Bombyx mori: one gene and its partner. The protein of the gene in region 2 purifies or fractionates together with the protein of the main gene of each other region. This does not show direct contact. Links are inferred from orthologs where the notes say so. Each region holds a gene or a part of one and is shown on either strand. Other genes may lie near its edges.

Region 1 (6,376 bases), on a different chromosome or scaffold from region 2:
AGTCTGACCGCGTGCACAGTAAAGGAGTGAGAATAGAAATTGGTTTTGTGGGAAGGGAATAACAAAACAGAACGTTGGTTGGACCTGCAGGGAGCATCAGGAGAACGAATGAAAGAGAATCGCTCACGTAAATATAAGGGAGAAGTGGGCTTATGTAGGATATTGAATAGGAGACATAATATTCGAGTATTCCTACGAAGGCGTATAGGGAGCCATTTAAGTTCTTTGCGAAAATGAGAAACATGATCGAATTTTCTGAGATTGTATATAAAACGGATACATAGATTTTGCATCCTCTCAAGCTTGTTTGAGAGCTCCTCAGTGGCATCCAAGTAGCAGGCATCGGCGTAATCAATTATGGGTAGAATGAGAGCTTGGACGAGAGATATTTTTGTATGCTGAGGTAAGAAGCCCTGCAGACATCTCAACGAGTGCAAGGCAAAGTGCACCTTCCTACTAATCTCAGCAACGTGAGAACTCCACGAAAGATGTCGATCTACAATAACACCCAGGTTTTTAACTGAATCGGTTAGAGTTATTTGAGTCCCATCCAAATAAATTGGGGGGAGTATAGGATCGCTGAGTCTACTGCGCAATTGTTTACCCCCTATAATGATAGCCTGTGATTTTCCCGGATTAATGTGCAGACCGTAGGCTTTTGCCCATTCACTGATAGACTTCAGATCACTGTTCATCGCAGCAATAGCCGATTCAACTTCAGGCTCCGAGAAGTGGCGATATAGCTGGAGATCGTCTGCGTAGAGGTGGAATTTAGAAGATATAAGCCTAGTGACAGAGTTTATAAACACAGAAAACAGAAGAGGAGAAAGAACACCACCTTGGGGAACGCCCGCACTGACGTTCTGCCAATCCGAGAAAATCTCGTCAAGACGGACACATTGCGAGCGCCCCCGAAGGTAACTATCAAACCAGTTAATAGCAGATGAGGAGATATTGTTTGATTTGAGTATTTCGAGCAGAACATCGAAGTCAACAGAGTTAAAAGCGCTGCTGAAATCTAACAACACTAATAAAGTTAGTTGTTTGTTTTCCATGGCCCAGCGAATGTCATCGGTCACTTTTAGAAGAGCTGTAACCGTGCTGTGGCCCTTGCGAAAACCAGATTGGAAGGAGCTAAGAAGATTGTGGGAGAGGAGAAAAGACGACAGCTGACGGTGGACAATGTGCTCAAGGACTTTGGAAAGAAAAGGAAGTATAGATATAGGCCGGAACTGAGATGGCAAAATAGGATTGGGGCTTTTTGGGATAGGAACAACGTAGGCTTGTTTCCAAGAATCAGGAAAGTTGCTAGAGGTAAAGGAAAAATTGAAAATATGGGTAAGTATAGGTGCTACCGTTGGAAGAATTAGGGCAATCATTTTAGAGCATACGTTATCAATTCCAACAGCCGTGGATGAGATGGAGAAAAAGGAATTACGGACATCAGCAACCGAGACTGGACTTAAGTCAAAAATAGGGATCCGGGGTACGGATAGACTTGAAATCTTAAGCAACGTGGCCGTCTTTGACGAATCACTGAGTGACACAGGAGGGAGAGAAAAATGCTTATTGAGGGCGCACAAGTCAGTATCCTTGACAGAAGAGACCGGAGTTTTGCCAATGCCGACAGATTTAAGGAATCTCCAAGTATGAGCAGGGCTGCGATTTTCAAGTGATTTGTGAAAGTAAAGTCTTTTAGCATCTCTGCACAAATGGTTGCACCGGTTGCGCAGTGCTTTGTATATGGCCAGGCTGTACCAATTAATTAAAAATTTAACTAATCTTTTTACCAGCTTACTGGCATCTGTCACTTACTTGATGCATATCACCTTCCAACAATGCCCGTAAAGTCCTATCCAGCCTAGAGCCTGAGGGCATAGATCCCATTCCAGCACAGGCCGATGCTGCAGCAGACAACTCATGAGTCCTAGACCAAGGTGCTGTGAACATTACGTAGCCTCCCAACATATCAAACCACGATGTGTATGTGCTACGTATTGACTCAAATGCTGAATATTCTCCTATGATTAACTGTGGGACAAAATTGTATAAATTAGTAAACGAATTACACAATGTTTTAGTATAATAAAAAATAAGCCTAATTAGCTCACTTCATCTTCCTAAAGCCTATTTTAAGACTTAGTGTTAATTAATGAACCACTTAATAATATAAAAAAATAATTCTTGAAAACATTTTCAATTAAGAAAAAAATTCATTTCACAATATTCAAATCATAACTCATTTATTTTGAAGTTATAGATTAACTGATTAAATTAATTAAATGTTCTTATTTGCTGTATATTATGCTGTTATTATTACCGTTATTCAACAGGTATGCTTGCATCTGCCATGTTCCTATTTGATTTGGCTTAGAACGGGGAAATTAGCATAGATAAATAGGTAATTTTACAAATTTTTTGAATGTAGTAAATGATGATGATGGTGGTATACACTTTAATCTAAGAATTTTGAGGACAAGAACAGTTTCTAGTTTATGCAGTTACTTAATTGATTCACACATCTTTACTTACTCTCATAATAAGTTCAAGTTTTGGTTGTGATGCCAACACTCTGCTAGTAACCTTAGCTCTGCATTCAGCCTGCCAATGCTTCCAAGTTACTGTAAACTCCCCAGTTGATATACCACCATATATCTGTAATTTTATATCCATGTTATGTAGATGTAAAGTGTTTATGGCAAGATGTGAGGTAAGATCGAACTTTTAGCTATAGGATATCCCAGGTTAAATTTGTTTAATAATATACAACTTTTCATAACCACAATGAAGTCTTTGATCTGACACAATGGTTACATAAATTAATAATAACATAAATTTATAAATTTTGATGGTGTTAATTGTTTTTCCCAAAATAGTTTTCCAGCTGAAGTTTGACATGTGTGGACTATAACCTATATCATGTGAACAGTCATTCAGTAGTTTAGACATAAAAATCTAATAAGACAAGAGTAAAGTTCATATATGGCTGAGCCTTTACTCGCCCACCTGTCCTGGTGAAACTGGAAAGGCCTCCGGGCCACCAGTAATCTTTCATTCATAAAGAAAAAACATTCATATAAAATATCTTATTAGCATGTTCCAAACATCTCTAAATGGTGATGGAATTGTTCAGATAAATTGTCTCTTAACTATCCAAAGTATAATTTTTGCTCTTAATTAATTTATACTGTGGAATACTTAATGAAAATCAATTGTTCCCTTTATTTGTGAGGAATTTAAATGATAATTTGACTTTAGAAATTATATTTCATTTTTATACTCACACTATAAACAGGCATACTCCGTAATGAATTATCAACAAGCTTAAATTCATTTGTTTCTGATAATGAATTTAATTTCAGTAGAGCTCGGGCGACATCTACTCGCCCTTGCACAACCATGCCAATCACAGTATCCCAATAGTCATCGTGGTCTTCTGAACCTCGCTCACAGGCCTCCAGCAACTGCGCTGCAGTCTGCTCATGGCACGGAAAATGGAATCGAACCCATTCTAGGAGGTATGGCAACACAATGTCTCCGGGAATCTTATCTATGTAAAGGATCTCACATAAATGCCAAATACATTCAACAGAATAAAATATTGTAATGTATGATTGTAAATTGATCATGTCGCTGCCGTCTTTCGCATCATTAAGGGCTTCTTGCAAGTTTTCAATGCACACTCTTATAATAGAACGATATTGTCGTGAAAGTTTTAATAATTCCACGTGATTGTCATTATTTTTTGAAGAATCGACGAGTTTCTGCAGAGATAAATATGTACCATTGGATTCGTTTACCAGTTTTCGTAAAATCGGATGAAATAATACAATCTCGTGACGTATATTGAGTATTTTGTTTTCGACATCATTTTTTGGTGTTTTCGAAACAGTTTGACTGCGTGGGTAGATAGAAAACTTGTTACCACTCCTCCACGCACATCCTACGCCCTTATTGAAACATTTTTCTGGTATATTCTGTAAGAAACAAAAAAAATAACTTAACTCAAACATAACCTATATATTCGTTGAATCATGTTAATTACTTACAAATGTTTTAGCTCGAATAATAGGACTACTATCATCGCCACGAACATTATTGTTAGAAAAAGTCGTTATATTCATTTTGTATTAAATCTTTCATGTACACAATGCAATTTCACATAAAATTTTGTAAACATTTGAATGCGAAACAGAATTGATCAGAAACCGCCGTTTCAAATGCGCTGATTTTTTTATTTGTTTCACACATAGAACAAGGTGAAAGCAAAGGAAACAAAATCCATACAGCCAATTATTCTTTTTGGTCAAATGCGTAATAATAGTGGGTTAGTAATCTTTTAGCATGTGTATATGGGCAGGTGTGAGAAAATAAAACAAAATCGCAGGACATGGCTTAGCGGTATCTTTTTCAAAAATACGCACACAATTCTATTTCGACGTCACCTCATCTCATCTCATTGCAATTTCAGATGATTCAATTTGGTTTCATTCCTTCCTATTAGATTTAGATAAGTTGACGAGCAATACGCACCTGTTATTTTTTATAATTCGTTGTCTATTCGCTGGTGTCTAAGGGGCTATTTCAGCTACGCGCAAACAAGTAGATGAGCTCAGAAATTCAACCTGAGAAAATTTGCTAACACTAGCCCTAGCAAGAACAGTGCCGCTGCAAAATCTATTACCCGATCAGAATCACGACTCATTGAGAATATCCGGCCAGAAACGCAGTGGGTTGTGTCTATGAGTTAATTCGATCATCGAAAACTTCGTCGCAATTGACGTGATTGATGAAGAAAGTAACCGTGAGTGAAAGGATCGGATAGGTCATGTTTCGCGATGTAATTTTACGTTGCCTCGTCCTTTGAGTCGGATATGTAATAAGCAGCGGTCACATTAAATAGATTATCGTGTCGCACCGAGCACTACGTTAATATTGCCACCGATCACAAAACATAAAATCAAAGACTCATTTGTATTGTATAGACTATGTAGTCCACCTTTCATAGCGGAACGCTTTCTAACTGTTATGCTTTAGAAACAGACAGAACAGTGATACCCAATAATGAAATTTACTGAAATCTACATGTAATTTCGTTCGCGTTCGACTTTTGTACTTCGGGTTTCAACTTCTGCACTTTCACAGATGCTAAACGATTGATAATCTACCATGATTATACGTTTAAACTAGAAGCAACACTAAATTAACAAAATAAAATAATCCATACAGTTACCTTGCCTCCCCGCCGAAAAGTTTCTTACAAACTTTAAATACACGAACATACGGCCAACAGTGCTAGACAAACTTTAACCCAAGATAACTAAAAAGTCGAGTATGATAGCCGTAAACATATTTTAAAAAGGTATGCATTGACAGTTGACGTTTTTGTTTGTTTTCGTAGTTTGACGCTCGTGATTCATTGTGAAACGTTTATCCCCTATAATAAAAAAAGTTTTTAAGTTTATATTTACCCTGAAATTAAATCCTTCCAGTATTTACAAGGTATAAAGGTACGTGAACATTTGATGACTTTGCATTTTTATTTAATAAGTAATGTCGCTGACCGGATGACCTGTTGGAGGACATATTGTTGATTTTGTCATGAATTAAATCTTGACAGTTTCAATTCGTCAAAAACTGTTTTGTAAACGGTATATTATTTTACAACAAAATTATAAAGTAAGTCAACTGTTATAATATAACTCGACGTTTTAATTAATATAATGCGATATCCAATATAAAAACAATTTAACTTGAAAGTTTTCGTTTGTTGTCAAAGTCGGATTTAACTATTTTTGGTAAGTTTAGTTCTTAATATTTCATGTGACCTGACTTTCTAGAGTGATCCGAATCATTGAGGCCTTCACCTCGTCTAGGGGCCATAATATTGATACAAAAACCGTGAGCTGCAACCGCGACTGTGACGTAGCGAGCGGTGAAAAACTAAACCGAGTGAATTAGGCCGCAGAAACCCGCTTCGGCGGTCGTGTTGTGTTCTGTGTCGTACCGTGACGTTCGGCGATCGTAGAAGATTCTGTGTACTAATTTATCGTAGTTGATGTGATAAAAAATTATCATTGAATGATATCTAGTATAATATTACTGTTTCGTCGTTCGTACCTGTGCACAGCTCAGACTAGTGGTGTTACTTGTGAAGTGTTTGTGGTGAAGAAATATTTTGGTGTAAACATTGTGTAAGTTGAATACTTGCAGTGCAAGTTGGATGTTACCTCTGTCCAGTAACCTTGAATGTTGTACATGTACATGTTTTATCATATCAAAGCAACATTTCATTTTATTTGTTATCATAGCTCATACAAAAATTCTCTTTTAGCTGTGAATTCCAACTCTTGACTATTTTAACACTCATTTCCAA
Region 2 (6,286 bases):
TCACGTTTGCCTTTCAAGCGTCGATATGCTTACCGGCCCTTCTGTGAATTTTAACGGAAATTTTACACTTTGCATCATCTGTAGTCATGTCAATGACAAGATAATAAAGTACTCACGAAAGTGGTTCGATTTTAATGATTCTCAGGTCCTTGGCGGCTACGGCGAGGAGATGGAACGAGCGGCCGAGGTTCGGAGCGAAGGCGAGGTCGTTGACCGGCTCCTGGACGGATGACAGACAGTCCGTTCGCGTCCAACGACGAGACGTTTCACTGTATCTGAACACAAATTTAATTAATTTTTTTTGTTTAGCTTCATAAGAGTTTTTATTACGTACACAGCGGTACCATTGTGGCGGGTAGCCATCACAGAACACAAGATATTTGCTAGATGCCTGAATCTGGCTTACGACATTTTCAAGATAAGCCTGCATATTTATTTATTTTTTCCCACCTAATCTGATAGCCTTGAGAGGCTATATCAGCTTCGCCTTAACTAGTAGGTGAGCTCACGGGGCTGAAACCTGATGACGTTGCTAACACGAACCCTAGCAAGAGCCGTGCTTCGCAGAATCTACCACCGGATCGGAAACGCGACCCACTGAGAAGATCCGGCGAGAAACTCAGTGGGCTGTGTCTGAGGGTTAATTTACTCGTCGAGCCCTTCGTCGCAAGCGACGGGTTCGACGAGAACAATGACCGGTGCTTGAGGTACCTAAAAGCACCGTTAGTGGATCGGGAGGATCCGAAATGACGTGTTTGGGGCGACGTCGACTGCTTTCCATTCTGTCCGCAGGATCGGGAATGGAACTTGCATATATACAAGTTCTGAACATCAACATTCGGACTGTCTGTCACCCGCTCGGTTGAATATCTTCCTTTTGTCGTATACTCTCCAAACTATGACAAAAATCTTCCCTGGGCTATAGACAACTATAAAAATTTGCAAATCTATCAAGTAAATGAATGAAGCCAAATGTTTACATTCACTACAAATACAATACAAAAACTGATAGTTTTAAATCACTGCTAACAGTAGACATTGTCAATGGCAGGGGCACATCCAAGTCACTGTCTAGAATTATCATTATTTCAAGTAATAAGTATTTTAGATATTTACATATAAAAGTAAAAGTGTATATTTAATACATGGATTACAACATATAAATTAATACTTACTCATAAATAAAAACTTTTCCATTACAAGCTGTGCTCTTATCAGATGGTACTGATGCTAAGGCATTTGTTGTGTTAGGTTCATCGCTGCCTACTGCCAACATTGGTGGGTTTCCTACCCTAGAAAAAAAATGCAATATTGAAGATATTATAAAAAAGTCACTAATACAAGCCAACAGAACAGTTTTATTTTACACAGTAAAAACACAATTTGCTCCCAAAAACTCTCTCTTACTCTCACTTTCAACCTCTAAACTAAATTCCCTGCTGTTTTATGAGTATCTGGGGACTTAAAAGAGCTCTTTGTTGACTACACGTTATTATTGTTGTTGTTGTTGTTGACTGTTGTTGTTGACTACTTGTTGTCCATAAGTGACTATATCCAGTTACGATCAGATGGGCTATTTGCTACATCCAATTATAATAAAAATACATACCTACCTAGACAATGAAGGGTTCCATGATAAACAACTAATTGAAACTTTCGTCGGTATCTCGTGCTGGAGGGTCCATTGTGCCAAATTCATCACATCCGGAGCCTCATATATTCTGTAAATCAAACAGAATGTTGTTTTCGCTTCAAACAGATTAAAGTGAGAAGATGAAGAGCAGTATTGCTATACCAGTAACAACATAGCCTTATGTGGATTCTGAGGTCAACTATTTATCTAGAACGACACAGAATTAATTCAAATGAAAAATGGTAATTAGCTGAATTTAATTGTTGAAAATGTAGAAAACCAGGTAATGCTTACAGCTTAGATTACATTAGTAGCTGCCAATATTGTTACATAAATCATCACTCACATTTAGACCCAAATTCTTAACCATCTAGTAAAACAGCCTACAAATTAGAAAACGAGACTGTTTCATTGCAGAAATAGGCAGGGTGGTAGTAGCTATCAGTTTATGCTTGAAATAAGTAGTACCAGGAGGTTTTACTGATGTGTAGTGTTATGGATCAACATAATACCTTATAATGCCATCAGCTGAGCATGTAACTAGTAGTAGACCTAAATGTTTAGGTCCAAATTTAACATCTGTTACTGAAGTTCTTGAATCAACGAGGTTTGACCGCTTCAGCCATGTACGTAAACTCTTTTCAGAGCCTGTTGCTGTGGTGTCACCTGAATACAATATTGAATACATATTTATTTGAACCAATCATTTTGAACTATATACTCCTACTATTCTGCACTTGGCTTGTGTATATCTCTGCATGACTAGTGATGGTGCTAGTGATGACTAAATAGGCCATTCTTTGGTCACAGTTTTTCACACTTTATGTCTGTTAAAATTTATATTATTTTGCAACTTCCAAGCTAGGTTTCCTAGAATGTAATTTTTTTATTGCTTAGGTGGGTGGACGAGCTCACAGCCCACCTCATGTTAAGTGATATGGGATCTAAGATCTCAGTCTGTCTACCCAAACACAAAAAACTAATGAAAGCTTTCAGAAGTACATTGAATGTACCATGATGCAAAACTATGAAAAGCAGGCACCCTACACCTTACATTCTGCAAAAAATGGGTAAATTGTGGCTAAAACTTACAAGAATATACTATAATCTATATATATAAAAATGAATTGCTGTTCGTTCGTCTCGCTAAAACTCGAGAATGGTTGGACCGATTTGGCTAATTTTGGTATTGTATTATTTGTAGAGGTCCAGAGAAAGTTTAAAAGGTAGCTAAATATAAAAATGCTCAGAATTAAATAAAAATAACAATTTTGTTTTCCTTTAATATGTCCCCCGCCGGAAGGATTCCTTTTTTTGTTTTAGGTTTATTTTATACAAAAGTTTAGTTTATTTATTGATTGAGGCACTACGAAGTCTGCCAGGTCAGCTAATTATACATAAAATATATTATAAAACAACTCATCTAGAAAAAGTAATAAATTTAATGCTAAATGGTATGAACAAATGGTTCCACATACCCACTTCCTCCCAAATAGCAGCTGTTCTATCAAAGGAGCAAGTCGCAATGACCTGTCCAAACTCTGGGTGGGCCCATGTAACTTTCCAAACAGAGCCGTGATGAGCCTTCCAGCTCGCTGTCATCCGCCAGCCTCCATGCCCGTCTGTGTCCCATATCTAAGATAAAAAATAACATATTCCAAATTATTAACTTTCACGATTGCTTATTACTACGAAGCAACAAAGCTTTCGTGAATTACCAGAAGACTAAAAAAATTTCATTTTACCACGTTTTACAACTATACGTACGTAAAACAAAGGTACGTACTCTAATTAAAAATAATATAAAGAATGTACCTTTACGTATTGATCACTGGAACAAGTGGCCATTCTCTCCCCGTAGAAGTCGTACGCGACATCGTGAATAAGGTCTTTGTGATCGGCATGTATCGTTTGGGCCTCGAAAAGGTTCGTAGCTATGTTTTCACTCATTGTTATTATGAACTAACAGTGTTTTTTCCGTTACATTAATCCCAATTTATAACCTCAAATTAACAGAAAATGACATTAATGACAGTAATAATTCCATTTTTCAATATGAAAGGCGAAAGTATCACTTCATACAGACAATTTTTTTTTATATTCTGTTAAATGAAAAACAACGTAAAGGGAAAGATTATATGGATGAAATTAAATAAAATGAGGTGAGATGGGATGAAATAAAGTCACAGTAAAATGACAGTTATTTAAAGAGACTTTAGTGGACTTTTTGGAAGAGTCCGAAAAGCCATGTCAAGCGACTGTTTCATTTTCCCACATGCGCTTTTACGGATGCAAAACAGTAATTAAAGCACCATTACTACACGTTTAAGCCTTCGTCAAACAGAACGCGTACTTAGCGCGCGTCAGAGCGCTAAACTAACGCCGCGCTATGACGCCGAGATGTATTGTACTACTACGGTATTATACCGTCAAACAGAGCGCCAGCGCTATAGCGCTCATAGTATAGTAGTACAACACATCTCGGCGTCATAGCGTAGCGCTCTGACGCGCACTAATTACGCTTTCTGTTTGACGAAGCCTTTAAGCCTGAAGAAACACTAAATTAAATAAAAAACAATACACACAACTTCGGTCCTGGCGTTTCCGCCAAAAACTCGTTCATTTGTGTCTGTCTGTCCATCTTATTCTTTAGGTCACCACAATTGTTTTACAGGATATCGATAAAGGATTTAATCTCATCCCCAGCAATTAAGCGGTCCTTCCCGGAGTGGCACCCATGTAGATTAAATGGGAGAAACTTGTGGTAACTTGGGAAAACTTGTTAAAGAGCCTCAGTCCATGAATGAAAACAGCATAGATAATAATAATTTATAATATATAATTTATAAAAGGGAAGCAATTCAAGCAGTTCGTACCCCACACGACGGAAGACCAATGCTGTAAATAACAGTGGTCTTTCGTTAGACGTTAGTACCCGCCTTACCATGTTTTTCTCCCAACATCGATGTCGTATTTATTACCTACCATTCCTACACTAAGATCTATAGATGTGTGAAAAGGCTCATGATATACTTTGAAAAAAAAAACAATTAAAAATTATAGGCATTTAATAAAATTAGTAGTGTACTAGCTAATTTAATTACATAGATTAACAAGGAAGCTAATATTATTTATAAATATAACAAATTCATACACAAAAATACATCAATTATTAACATTATTGTCAAAATAAACACGAAAACAGAACAATTTAGATAGATGCAAAATTTGTATATGATTAACTAATTATGAGTGTGATAATTTTCATTAAACAGATCTCCAATAACTTGACCAATTTGTCAAATAGACAATTACGTATTTTTTTTTAATTTACTACACACTTTAAGTGTTCAATGATAATATTTAACATTTGTTAAATAAAAAGAGGAGTTGAAAATATGTTATGTTTATTATTTTTAAATTACTTACAAAGAATCCGTTCCTAAGGACCCTATACTATTAGGTATTGATGCCGGAATATTTATTACAAATTTACTTTATTTAATTTACATTACAAACACAACGAAAGAGACAAAAAATAATTTAAATATTGGAAATTTTTAAGTCCGTAATTTTACGAACGGTATTAAATTTGGCACAACTATTATTTATATGTGTATAAGTATATTAAAATTAACAAAATGTCTTTCAATTATTATTTTACAGTTTTAAAAATATTCTACCTAGGATTATGAAAAGTCAACAACATTTCATTAATTTTTTATAAAATATGGCAATTGAGATTGCAGCTCAGCTGATAATAAGTGGCAGGCATCGCTTAGAGACGCTACAGTGTAACGTCTGTTAATAGGTCCTAACAAACTTAAAATGAATTCGAATGGTTCTGAAAATCAGTTCTTTTAGGGACAAAACTTATTCGTATTGAGTGACGCGCCTATACCGGTAGATACTGATGTATTGTGGGGACGCATTGGTATTGCCATCCTATTTCCGGTCGCCTAAAAGACTGCACAGCCGCTAGACGACTTTCTCATAGTGCAATGGACGACGATCAACGCTTAATACCATCAGATCCCTTACCCAGCTCAATGGCATAAAAGGAGACATAAAAATTACTAAAATGATGCTACAAGCGTTTATAAATGAATTCGCAGTCAGCAGAAATAACTTCAATGTTAATCCTACTATTAATTTGGCAAAAAAATGTTTACTTTTTTTTTGGTATTTTCATAAGTAATGTCTACTTTACTTTTTGTTTTGCTCCTAACATCCTACCCGCAATCTTCAGTCTATGCCTGACCGTGACGCTTGCAACACGCCGAAATATCGACAACTCGTGAAATGTGAAAACCGTAGTATGAACCTGTTAAATAACAATTGTGTAATATAAATAATTGTAAATAATAATAAGTGTGTGTAAGTTTAGCTAAAGTTCTTCAAACTTCCTATATTGTATTATGAAGTTTGATGTACTTTTGCTTAAAATAAATTAGAGCTCCAAAACTTTATAAGTACACCTGGAACTTTCTAAGTTTTATTAAAGCTAGTTCTCTTTTTTAATTGATCAATTTCTAAAGCCAGTTTTCTGTTTGTCTCAACTAAAACGTCTTGGTTGTAGGTTAGATTCTGAATCTGCTCATTCATATTGGACAGTTGTTTCTCTAAATATAATTTTTGTTTTGTCAGAGCCAT

What was found. The genes of interacting proteins can lie anywhere in the genome.
Region 1: the proteins of sec13-like protein (region 2) and nuclear pore complex protein Nup85 purify together in Homo sapiens (affinity purification with western blotting; 4 studies listed by BioGRID and IntAct, with this or other methods). This does not show direct contact. The link is inferred for Bombyx mori from reciprocal best matches to the Homo sapiens genes SEH1L and NUP85.

The regions. Positions count from the first base shown.
Region 1 is NC_085123.1:527,392-533,767, forward strand, and holds the start of nuclear pore complex protein Nup85, read right to left. Parts: upstream 4,238-6,376; 5' UTR 4,125-4,237; coding exon 4,050-4,124; intron 3,978-4,049; coding exon 3,285-3,977; intron 2,656-3,284; coding exon 2,533-2,655; intron 2,032-2,532; coding exon 1,816-2,031; intron 1,435-1,815; exon of another isoform or gene 1,063-1,434; intron 918-1,062; exon of another isoform or gene 1-917. UniProt on the Homo sapiens protein: Essential component of the nuclear pore complex (NPC) that seems to be required for NPC assembly and maintenance. As part of the NPC Nup107-160 subcomplex plays a role in RNA export and in tethering NUP96/Nup98 and NUP153 to the nucleus.
Region 2 is NC_085125.1:13,430,253-13,436,538, reverse strand, and holds the start of sec13-like protein, read right to left. Parts: upstream 3,631-6,286; 5' UTR 3,584-3,630; coding exon 3,449-3,583; intron 3,269-3,448; coding exon 3,112-3,268; intron 2,300-3,111; coding exon 2,146-2,299; intron 1,722-2,145; coding exon 1,614-1,721; intron 1,293-1,613; coding exon 1,176-1,292; intron 276-1,175; coding exon 117-275; intron 1-116. Other genes in the region: uncharacterized protein LOC101745951, read right to left, coding at 6,122-6,286. UniProt on the Homo sapiens protein: Component of the Nup107-160 subcomplex of the nuclear pore complex (NPC). The Nup107-160 subcomplex is required for the assembly of a functional NPC.